Linked DNA regions of Arabidopsis thaliana. The protein of the gene in region 2 interacts with the protein of the main gene of each other region in a pairwise test. Each region holds a gene or a part of one and is shown on either strand. Other genes may lie near its edges.

What was found.
Region 1: the proteins of AT3G15420 (region 2) and AT3G19550 interact in a two-hybrid assay, tested with the Arabidopsis thaliana proteins (one large-scale study listed by BioGRID).
Region 3: the proteins of AT3G15420 (region 2) and AT3G49160 interact in a two-hybrid assay, tested with the Arabidopsis thaliana proteins (one large-scale study listed by BioGRID).

Annotation. Positions count from the first base shown.
Region 1 is NC_003074.8:6,786,576-6,790,428, reverse strand, and holds AT3G19550 (glutamate racemase), read left to right. Parts: upstream 1-2,004; 5' UTR 2,005-2,263; coding exon 2,264-2,307; intron 2,308-2,498; coding exon of another isoform or gene 2,499-2,504; intron 2,505-2,678; coding exon 2,679-2,967; 3' UTR 2,968-3,302; downstream 3,303-3,853. Other genes in the region: AT3G19552 (uncharacterized protein), read right to left, coding at 2,499-2,504, 2,737-2,955.
Region 2 is NC_003074.8:5,207,075-5,210,460, forward strand, and holds AT3G15420 (Transcription factor TFIIIC, tau55-related protein), read right to left. Parts: upstream 1,436-3,386; 5' UTR 1,216-1,435; coding exon 1,132-1,215; intron 1,057-1,131; coding exon 1,006-1,056; intron 926-1,005; coding exon 874-925; intron 767-873; coding exon 630-766; 3' UTR 501-629; downstream 1-500. Other genes in the region: AT3G15410 (Leucine-rich repeat (LRR) family protein), read left to right, coding at 1-42, 130-205; AT3G15430 (Regulator of chromosome condensation (RCC1) family protein), read left to right, coding at 2,334-2,672, 2,800-3,009, 3,095-3,205, 3,291-3,386.
Region 3 is NC_003074.8:18,221,243-18,226,433, forward strand, and holds AT3G49160 (pyruvate kinase family protein), read right to left. Parts: upstream 3,664-5,191; 5' UTR 3,488-3,663; intron 3,192-3,487; 5' UTR 3,174-3,191; coding exon 2,764-3,173; intron 2,692-2,763; coding exon 1,087-2,691; intron 1,008-1,086; coding exon 890-1,007; 3' UTR 636-889; downstream 1-635. Other genes in the region: AT3G49155 (F-box/LRR protein), read left to right, coding at 92-363, 512-635.

The DNA of each region.
Region 1 (3,853 bases), 1.6 Mb from region 2:
TTTACAAAAATATGTGTCCTTATGCTAGCTCTTTTGGGAGGAAATTGTCTTGAGAGATAAAAACAATGTTAAGACTATATTTTTATAGGTTTTATGATAAGCGTAACATAAAAATCATATGATAAATCATTTATGCTTTTTCGTTTCTTTAGCTTTCTTGAACCATTTTTTTTTTTTTTTTTTTTGGTTTTAGTTAAAGCTAGACTTTGCCCTTGAGAGGTTATAAATTGAAAGCATAATTCTAAATTTATGTCGCATCGAGAGGAAGCGATGATAAGGAAAAACAAAAAAAAAGTTTGAAAAGATTCGCACCTGAGGTTGAGAACTTGAGATGAGAGGTTCTAACACCAATAATAACAAAGGCATCTAATTAACGTTTCTTTCTATAGTTTCGGATTAGAACTTTTGTAGTTTTGATTTTTCTTGCAAAACTATATACTGTATATTTGCCTTCCACTATTCCTTCATATTTTGTTGGGTGTGATAAGTAATATAGCTCTCAAAATTGTTCAAAGTCCGGAGGGATTTGGGTCGATGATACGTTGGATTAGAATAACTACTAAAATGTCATTGTAACGTATTAGGATAGAATAGTTTCTTAAAACTTTGTAAGCCCCACAAAATGCATGTTTTTCAGAAGGTGGGTATCTTTGATAAAGATTGGTTATAAGATGTAACAACCAATTGTATGTAGCATATATAACTAATTAAGATCAATGTTGAGTGTTTGTTCGCAACTTTTTACTAAAATATACAAAAGAAAGGATTAGTTGAATTGAATTTGTCTGTCGTAAAACAGCTTCACCTTTTTTCAAAACTAATTTCTTCCATTGGATTTCGCATTTTTCCTTATGAAGCTGCACAATGTGCATTACGGAATATATTCTAAGATTCCTATTAAAAAAGTTGTAACCAAATTAAGTAATAAGTACTCTAAATTTTAGTTATTTATACACATATACATACGTATGTACAGTTCACAAAATTGTAATAAAGTTCCATGGTGAAACTTTTGGAACGTAAATAAGCAAAAAAACAAAACAAAAGGAACCACCACGACACTAAAACATTTTATGAACAGCATTTTAAGACATTTCTGAAACGACATTTTATAAATAGTAAAATGTATATGTTAATATGTAATGTAAACTCAAATAGTTTATGTTAACACAAACTTTTGGTAAAGAAAGTAGCAATGACAAACACGAAATATTGTCTATAGCATATATAACGCCCTTGAAGTGGCAACTGTGGCATAATGTCCTTAATCTTTACACTGTATAATTGGCAAATTGGTGTTTTAGCTCCTTCAAGTTAATTTGTACTTGCGATTTTGTGTTTTACCTTGTAGGATATGCATATTTTTTTGAGTTGATTACTTATTAACTCCGCTCAGTGTTTCTTAATGTCGGAGATCAAAAAGCTTTAAGAAAATAGCATAAACCTCATGCATGTACTACTAAAACTTTGTTGATTATGATCAGAGTTTCCTAACTGTTTTGAAGTACTGGTTTGTTTCTTTTATCTCTTACCTAGCTTTGATTTTCTTTGTAGAAGCATTAACATCTACAACTATACAAGTGATGTTGAAACATATATACTTCTTCCAATATAATCACCATCCGGTATCATAATCGGATTAAATTCGGAACTTCTTTAGAACCAATGGCACTCATTAATCGACATTAATTTATTTAAATAAACAATAACACTTTTGTACTTTGTTTTGATATTCTTGAAGACTTTTTTGCAGTCAAAACTCTTTAACTTTTTTCTTTATATTTTAACACCAAAATTCTTTTTTTTTATAAACGAGTCTAAACTATTCACAAATGCCATAGACGAAACATCATATAAAATTCAAACAGAAACATGTTGAAATTTACATTAAAAATAAATACCTCCATAATATTCCACTCTCCTAATTATGTTGAATCTCTTAATACATTGATCACGTTATAAACTCTTTCAAACTACAAGTAACAACTTTTAAGCTAACCAAACAAAAAAACAAGGAACAACTGATGAATAACTTTTAAATTACTATCCTCTTCTCTTATTCCTCCACTCTCAAGATTCTCTACCCGTACAGTTTCTGAAGTTTATATATAGAATAGACCAAAGAGATGTCAGAACACAAGATCAAGTTATAGATTGATAGAAATATACTCGTACTAATATCAATATATAAATACTCTGATTCCATATTAACATAATAAAGTATTTAGAAACAATTTGAGTTTCGTAGGCTTATACACAGTTGATGGGAAGAACTGGGATCGCCAAAGCACCAAAGCTGCTGTTAAGGTCAAAACCATATCTTTTCTCATCATTCTTCTTTTATTTTCATTAATCAAATGCTATTAGCCACAAAACATAGGTGGACAGTACCCACATACACATAAATCATCAAGTTAATTGCTTAATAGATATAATTTTCTCTTCATATATTTTATTTTGGAAATTTTAACTTTACCAAAAAAAAAGTTATCATTTTGTCAAATCTAGCTAAAATAAATTCATAAAATAATTTCTTACAATTCAGTTGTTAAAAAAAAAACAAGTTTCTTACCAAAGATTTTTTCTAAAATTTTGATACACACTATAACAAGCTATAAAATGTGTAACAAATTTAAAAAGAAGTAAATGTAATTTTGTGATAATTAATGATGATTTAGGAGTTGGAAGCAATTTCAAGGGCGAGCAGGGATAAGCAGCAAAGCTGCAAAATCAAACCCGATGATCGTCGACTACTTTGAAGATATTTCCGACCATAATCTCAAATTTAGCGGCGAAGAGGAGAGCTGGGTCCCACACCCACGCACCGGAATATTCTTTCCGCCGGGACAAGAGTCGGTGATGGAAGATGTCCCTAATGGTGCTGCCTCCTTCGACATGACGTTTTGGCTTAGGAACGTTGACGGTGTTGATAAACCTGATCCTGATCTTCATCATCTTCCTTATTAATTATAAACAAAATTAATATGGTATTGCTTATCTTATGATTGTTTCATTGAGAAATGAAATCGTCATAAGGGGACACTATATACTACATGTAACTATATTAAATAATCTCAAGGAAATGAGGAATGGATACGTACAAGTTTACAACAACATTTCATTGTGATCGTTTTCATATGATGGATGAAGAGGCTCAAACTCAATAGATATTCGTTGTGACTTCACACTTGTGATTATGGTCTTGTGTGTGTGCGAGGTAATTTACACAGCGACTAATGTGAAAAGAATTTAACCAATAACTAATGTAAAAATAATATTATTTTTTCTTAGATGTGATCTCGTATTTCAACTGCATGCATGGTAAAAAGAAAACCATTAACAAATCTATAAGGTGATTTACCAAAAAAAAACGATAAAAGTACATTTTTGTCTGTGGGACAAGTGGAGTAAAATAAGAAGGTAATATTGGAATATATCAAAAAAAAAAAAAGTTGATAAATATATCAAAATTGTTTAAAGCAGCTTATATTTTGAAGTAAAAAAATCCCAAATTCCTCTGCTTTTTTATTGCTACCAAATACTGGCTGCTCTCTATTACTTTGGTTTATGAAATTTGATGAAAACTGTAATATTGTTTCGAATCTTGCTGAATCTATTAACTGCTTTGTTCTAGATCCTACGAAACAGTGTTAAAAGATTGGTCTAGATGTACTTGTTTTAATTAGCTGTATTAGTGTTTTCTTGAGAGATTGATATGGTAAGTATGGCCAGACTCTTTCACTCTCTTTTTTACAGTTTTGAAATCTATATATGAATTATATAGTTTTGAAATCGTAATTAAATCCCAGCTACGTAAGAAGTTTGAACTCGCAGTTTCCCGATCTTTCACCTA
Region 2 (3,386 bases):
TACACTTGAGGTTCTACGACTTGACGGGAACCCATTAAGAAGGTATAAATGATAAACACTGATACATTAATAAACACAAGAACTTTCCAGATCGATTGATTTTCTTTTTCACCAACGTTCTTAAAACAGTATCAGGAGGCCAATTCTAGAAAGAGGAACAAAAGCTGTGTTGAACTACCTGAAAGACAGACTTCCAGATCAGTAGCTTCTACAACATTAACATCAACACCTATGTTGTTGTTTGTAAGATTTGTGTGAACACCAGATTGATTTTATTGATGAGAAATGCGTGTGTCCCTTGTCTAAGATATTTTCACTTTTGTTGGTGTGTAATCCAGTACGTCTGGTTCTGTGATATGTACTACAAGTCTATAAACTCCAATGGCCTCAACAGGAGAATTTTTTTGTAACAAATTGGTTTCTTCTTTTTGTTTCTGCATTTTTCATTGTCGAATGCTAATTTATAACTTAAACTTTAAGAATCTTTTGAAGTTTGGCAATAAGCAAGTCCAAAAAAATCTTTTAACATGAAATGAGAATTATCATTCCTAATCATTTAAAAAAATTTGTAACCTTTCTACACATACCCATAACTCAGCTCTCCAATGACTTAAACAAGGGAAAAACTATTACAAATTGTTTGTTTTTGTTTCTCCATCATCATTGTCTAATGCTGCTAATCTAAACTTAAGAATCTTGTGGAGTTTTGCAACAGGTTCAATTATCTTCTTATGTGGCATCTGGTTTTCACTTGCTGAAACTTCTTCTGCAAAACCAAAATAAAAGTAAAGAAACCTCAAAAATCAGCTTCAGTAAAAACATCAAGGGACAAAAGAAGTACGTGAACCAATAAAGATGAAAAGTGAAACTAACCCTTTTCAGAGAAAGCAAGGCATGTACCAATCGTTTCAATATATTCTCCAACCTGAGAGATCATCAAATCTAACACGATTAAGAATGGTTTAAGCAAAAGAGTTACTCAAACTCAAGTTATAGAAAACTCACCAGCTTGATTTTGCCATCAATGGTCAACACCGGATTCAAAGTATCCAAACCCTGAGAAATAATAAACAAAAGTCAAAACAAAACCAATGCAAAGAGTTTAACTAAAGAATATGGATTTGAACTAACTGATAAAGTATAAGGAGCATCTGATGGAATCTCAATGTGCCTTGAAACTTCATCAAGATCAATCATAACAAATTCCTCCTCCATCTATCTATCTCTATCTTTTCCGTTGAATCTTTCGAGAAAATACGAAAACCTTAAGTGATGGAAACTGAAGAACAAGCCTGATTAAGAGTAAGAGGAAGATGAAGATTCGTGTCAATCGATTCTCTGCTTCTTCTTCTTCTTCTTCGTCTGTCTAAAAATTGCTCTGTTACGAGAGACTCACTTTTGGGCCCATTACTATAACCTAAAGCCCAAAATATGGAGGGCCGATTCTTCATCTTCTCACTTCTTTTTCTTCCACGTGTCAAGCACGGAAACTACATCCAATCTCAGACCGTAAAACTAAACCGGAGGATTTTGTGAAGCCGGAGAACCGGAAATAGTTATGCAAATAACCAAGTTACCAATTTAATTTGAACATAAACCAAGCAAAAGTAGTGGTGAAGCAGAAAACACATAAAACTCTCAGCTAAAGCAATAAAACAGAGTACATTCAAGAGCCGACGACTAAGTAAGCCTCAAAAGATTCTGCAAACAGAGAGGAACAATCGCCACGAAAGAAGCTTAAGAGGCAAGATATTGAATTTTCCCCTAATTTTCTATTCGTCCTCACACGTCTTTCACCATTCTCTTATATAAAAAAGTTCTTTTTAGACTTTTTGGTTTCATTTGTTTAGTGGGCAACCAAAAAGTCAAGACCTTTTGCTTTCCAGGTAAGGATCTATCACCACTAACCTCTTTTCTTCTTCTCGATTCCTCGTTCCCTATTTTCGATTTCAATTGTACGTTTTTCAATCGAAAGTTTTCTCCTTTTTGAGGGATTTGTTTAGTTTGATTGATTGTGGATTGTTCTGTTCTTCGTTGCAGTTCGAAGAATCTGGCGTGTTCAGGTGGATTGATTCTTGCGATCTGACCCTTCTCATGATTAGTTTCCGATCTTCGAATAGACCAACTGCGAGATTCTCATCTATAACTCCGTTTTCCTATTCGATTTCTTATCTCTTTCTACCATCCAACGTGTTCTTCATACATTACTTCAATTGCTCTCGATTTCGCCTCAAAATCTGATCCTCTAGTAGCTTGAAGCAACCCAAAGTCTCGTCCTTTACGTTCAATTAGGTCATTTTGAAACCCTGTTCTTAGAATTAGGAAGGGAAGAAATGGCTGATCGAAACTGTTTGATTTCGTTCGAGGATCTTCCTTCTCATTTGATCTTGGAGGTGTTGACCTCTGGGAGGCTTAGTGCGGTTGATCTACTTAGCTTGGAATTGACTTCTAAGGTTTTCGGAGGGAGCCATGGATTCTATCCTTTGAAATTCAGATCATTAGCTGATTATGCGGCGTCTCAGCTTTGCTCTATGCACCCTGTCTACGTGGGAATGGGTTTGACTACACAGAAAGAGCTCTTTGCCAATTGTGAGGGAAACTGGAAGCGGCTTTTTAGTTTCTTGCAGTCAGTTGAGCAATCCTCAGATATGGTTGAAACCTCTCAAGGCAAAGTATGCTTTCTGTCATTTCATATAGTCAGTAGTTTTAGGTAGTTCAGTGAAGTTGCTATGGAGAAAGTTGATTCTTGGTTAATTTGGTTTAGAAGTCTCAGATGCATTTCTTTTATTTTTTCTGCAGATGCAAATTGCAACAGGAAAGTATCACACTTTGCTAATCAACAACTCAAAGGTTTATTCTTGTGGTGTAAGTTTGTCCGGTGTTCTTGCTCATGGCTCTGAAACTACTCAGTGTGTAGCATTTACACCTATAGAGTTTCCGTTCCCTGCTCAAGTGGCTCAAGTCTCAGCCACACAGAACCATTCTGCTTTCGTATTGCAATCTGGACAGGTTGGTAGCTTCTGTTTCACTTAAAACCTATCCTGTGAGTATATTGTCGTTTGCCATAATCACTCATATTTGAAATCCGGCACAGGTTCTCACTTGTGGGGATAATTCATCGCATTGCTGTGGTCATTTAGATACTAGCCGTCCAATATTTAGGCCTAAGCTTGTTGAGGCTTTGAAGGGGACTCCTTGTAAGCAGGTAGAATTGATACCAACCCTATCTAGACCTATTGATTTTCTAAATTGGTTCTATCAAACATTGACAAACTTATCTTCTATACCAGGTGGCTGCTGGGCTTCACTTTACTGTGTTTCTATCAAGGGAAGGGCATGCATATACTTGTGGATCAAATACACATGGGCAGCTTGGTCATGGAGAT
Region 3 (5,191 bases), about 13 Mb from region 2:
ATCTTGTAGCGGTATCATTCAACGTGATGATGTCCATGAAGAGAAGCCACATTACGGCTCTTTTCTTCATCAGAGATCCTTCAGCAGTTCGATGATTCTCTCTCAGCAGCATATGATGAGAAGCCCTTCACATTTCCCACTATGCTCTCCTTTTGGTGTCTCTACCTATCGGCCTATGTCGACTTCACATATTTCAGGCTCAGATGAGAGTGGCGATGTGAATCATGTTGCTGAAACTCTTACTGATTTAGTGCAGCAAGATACAGTCATCGAAGTTGCCGATGCTGCTATCGATTCCTCCATCCAATTAGATTTTGTTCAGCAGATAGTTCATAATGTGCATTCACTCACAGGCTTAAACTGGTAAGAAATCTTCTTCTTTTTTTTGTGTTGGTCAACTTTTAAATCATGTCATCCTTGGAGTTATTGTTGGATCACTTTTTTGTGTTTTTTTACACCCAAAAATGACCATGTCTTATATCAATCATCTCTGTATGTTCTGTGATTGCAGGTGGGCTTCCATTGTTTTTACCACCTTTCTAATTCGAGGAGTGACAATCCCTCTCATGATTGAATGCGAAAGATGGTTTTCAAAGAGGATGGTAATAAAACAATGTTCTTTCGTAAACACATGAGTTTTGTGTCTCAACCAACCAAAACACCGTTCTTGTTTGTGATTGGCATTACTTTCTATTTATACTGTTCACTGTTTGAAACACCATCATCAATCGGAATCATAATGGGAGAACTAGAATCAACAAGCTTAATCCTTCCATGTTATGATCTCTATTCATTCATCATATCCTAAATACATTGTACATTTCCCCTAAAATCTCTTTCTTATAAAACAACAATACGAATATAAATGGCCAAGCAAACTACAAGCAGATCAATGGAGATTTTCAGAGTCCGATTTCTTGTAGATAAGCTTGGTATGAAGAATAGTATCCAACATTGAAACAGCTTCAACGATATTCTTGCCTTTGTTTAACATCACACAGCTCGCCCTGCATATTTTCAAAATGCAAAATTAGACAAAGAAACTGCAAATCTTACAAAGATCATGTCTAATGCAAAATATTTTACCTTTTTGCATTTGCAGCATCAGTAATCTCAGCTCTAGTTGGAACTCCGGATTTCACAAGTGATTCAAGAACCTGAGTTGCCATAATCACCGGTACACGAGCAGCTTTACAAATAGCTATAATCTCCTCCTGCATATTAGCCAATCTCTCCCATCCACATTCCACTGCAAGATCACCTCTAGCTATCATAATTCCTAAAGGATTCGAACACTTCATTGCTTCTAAAAGAATCAAAGACAAATTCTTGAATCCACTTTTCGTTTCAATCTTTAAAACAATACCAAGATCATCTAGTTTTCTTTTCTTCAACTCTTGTCGAAGAACGGTTATATCATGGACATCACGTATGAAAGAAATACCAACCATATCAGCATGTGAAGCTACATAATCAAGATCTTTAATATCTTTTGATGTTAAGCCTTTGAAATGGATATCGCTCTGCGGTATGTTAATGGACTTCTCTGATCCTAGTTTTGTACCTTTTGGACGTGCATGAGTTATGGAGACAATTACCTCTGAAGGACTTGTTCCTTTTATGACTCCCCATATTTTTCCATCATCAAAACCAATGGTTTCACCAGGCTTGACTGAATCAAACAAATAACCGGAAGGACAAGTTAACCTATGAGCTCCTGGAACAGTTACAGATGGTTCATCGAGCGATCCTTCTCGGGTTATGACTAGTAAATCTCCAACTTTTAGCCTTACAAAAGATTCTTTGGGAGGAACATCTACTACTCGTCCAACTAAACGTCTCCCTTTCTTTCCCTTAACACTTAACTCAGTTCCACTTTCTATGTAAGCAGTGTCGAAACATTCAGCCACAAACCCGGTACTGTTGAAAACATGAAACTCTTTTGAGATTTTAAGTCTCCTCTTTCTCCCTCTAGCGTCACATAGTCTTATAGAATCACCAATTTGGAGACCAGCAAGAAAATCTTGGCCTTGGACCGATATAGTAGCATCAGGGGAAACATGAGCAGGAGGTTCTGTTCCTGTGAGGCAGAGCCATACCAAAGCAGGAGAAACAACATTTCCATAAGCATCTTTCTTTGGTGAAATTTTCATCACACACGGACCAGGTTTTAAGGTACCAGTTCTGAGTTTTGGTCCTGCTAAATCCATATGAACGCGACATGGCATCTCTAACATCTGAGAAGTTCTTCTTACTCTTTTGATGATCTCACCCCAAATACTTGGATCTCCATGTGCACAGTTTATACGGATAACAGATGTTCCAGCTTTAAGAATATCAGTTATAAATGTTTCACTCAAAGTTGCTTCTTCACCAATAGTTACCATGATATGAGTACTTCTTCCCTCACGAAGTTTACCAAGTAATGACTCTTTGTATGATAATACCCTCCCTTTATCATTCTTCTTAGTACTTTTTCCCTTGGGATATACATTAGTCCAAGACTCCGTCACAGCGTTTTGATCGTTCATCAAAAGATTAATAGAGGCGTTAAGGTGGGCGAGAACATCCAGATTGTTGTTGTCTAAACTTGACAGACCAAGAGAAGCTAGATGACTGTTGAGCTGCTCAATGTCCAGAGATCTCAAAGCCATATAATGAACTAAGTTTGTTGCACATTCCAGATACTTACTGCAACAGACGGTACTAGGAAATTAGGCGAAAAATAAGTAATGCAAACTATATATAAAATGGTTAACAAACCTGTCACATAAGTGTAGTTGAGAAGCATTCCATTTCTCTGCTGCTAAGAGATGTGACCGAAGAGCATTCAGTTTTTCGATAACACTAGCCACATTATTGGCCCCATTGCTTCCAGAGAGGTCTGCTTCTGACTTGAGATGAGACATAGCATCTTTAGAATCTGGAAAGTCAAAACTCCAGGTACATTCTGTGGAGGTATTATCACCAAAGGTGGCTTCCAATCTGCTGAAACTTTCAGCTTCGCCTTTCCCGCGAGCTAAGGCAAAAGCTAAGGTTCTCTGAATAGGAAGTTTCATGTGATTAAGTGATAATGCATAACTTGTCTTCTTATGTTGGTTGTTTATGTGAGACCTGCTGGAGAAGCAAAGGATCTTGTCTCTCAACAAGTGGCTTGAATCAAGTCCTACCATATCGACTAATTGAATCACCTGAGAATCAAAACGAAAAAGGAGAAACTGTTATAGATTGACACAGAGGTTAAAACCTAGGCATAACCACAAAGACAAGAAACGAAACATGTATAACGCAAAGAAAGAAAACAAAAAAACAAACAAATTCCAAGTTCGTGAAAAGGACAAAAACAAGCCTACCACAAATCAAAATCCAGGAAACAAATCATATCTAAGCAAATAAGTTTTCTAGGCTACTGGAATTGAGAAAATATCTGGAAGGAATCAAAATCAACCGAAACTCATTCCCTAGAGGACAAGAACATGAGAAATACCTTTGTTATGGAGAAGCGCTTTGTTCAGATAATGTCTTCGCTCTCGTCTTGAGGAGAAGAAGAAGAAGAAGAAGAAGAAGAAGAAGAGAAGACAGATTTTTCAACGAAGAAGAAGAAGAAGAAGCAGAAGAAAGAATGATGAAGAATTTTCTTAATGAAATAAAAAAAGTTGTGGTTAAGGATAAAAAGGGAGTGTGGCGAGCGCGTGTCAGATTCATCTTCTCGGGGAATCTAGTAACACGGACGGATGAGGCTGAAAGGTCCCCATTATAAAACGACGTCGCTTTGTTTTTCTAAACCTATTCAGACAAGAGACCCAAAGATAGAAAAAAAAAGACCGGTCCATGCGGTTTAACCAAACCAATTCCGTGAAAACTGATTAATTTGGTTTATCTATTCCAACAATGGAAATTGTTTGGTAAATTTTAAAAGAGTTTGGGAAAGTAGCTCCTATTGTAAAAGAGTTTTATAATTAGACAAAGTCGTTTATGAATATATGAAACACTTAACTGACTATTTCAAATTTCAAATATATGTATAACTTTTAACCATGTAAGAACAAAAAAATAAGAATGGCTAAGTTTGCTTAATTAGATTTTGTAAAATTTGACACATTATTTCTAAATTACATTTTATTGAAACTATGATTCATTTATTGGATGTTTTTTAGAAAGTTTGTGAAAATTATTAGCGGATTTGTAAACTGAAGAATGAACATAAACCATTCAATCTTTTAGTTACGGGAATAATGAAACCTATAAATCGGTACAAAGTTACAAACACATTTCTAAGCATAACATTTGTTCAACACAACACTCTCAATAGGAATCTTATCCGTGGGAAAATCACAGTCTGAGTCCATTGTAGTTCTCTTATCCGGTAACAAACTGCACGGCTCCGGTGTAACCCTACTAGTAACTCCGGAGACATCCGTGCAGTTCCACTGCAGCTTCTTCGGGTCCGGCGACAAAGCTATAGTCACACTCGACATGCATAAACCCGTAAATGGACCATTCTTGATCCTTTCTAGCTTTGCCGAAATTGTAACGTTTTCTGCGGTCATGTCACGGTAATGGATATTGCTAATCTCCGGCAACGCCTTGGGATCAAACCCGCCTACGGGATGCAGCTTATACGAACCGGTCATCCAGAAAACGTATTTCATCGTCTTCATCGTAAATCTCCTAGCGAAAATGTCTTTGATGTAACCGCCACGTCCTATAGCGGTTTTGATTCGGATAGCGGATTGTGTGTTGATTAGTGTCACCTCTTCAGTTTTCGGAGAAGATGATTTCGATCAACAAAGGTCTTGATATCGACTTGAAACCGCCACTTCGATACTTCAACCACCATGACTTCCCTTGTCCATTAGTCGTTCTTTTGTTACCTAACAACAAATTTGATCTTATAAACTAAATATATAATTTTGATTCAATCTCATATATATATATCCATCAAACCATTTTAATGATTTAAGTTTTGTTGTGCTTACCGGTGATAACAACATCGGTTAGGTTACTTCCGTATACTAAACCAGTAAACCTTGCATCTCCGTATGACGGCAAAGGTGGAATCATAGGATATTCAGACTCATCCTGTTTGTTACAAACGAAATAAAACCAAATGTGATTATTTATCTCAAATAGAATGGTTGATATTTTTTAGTGCATTCATAAATAGGTGTACGATACTAGCTAAAATTTT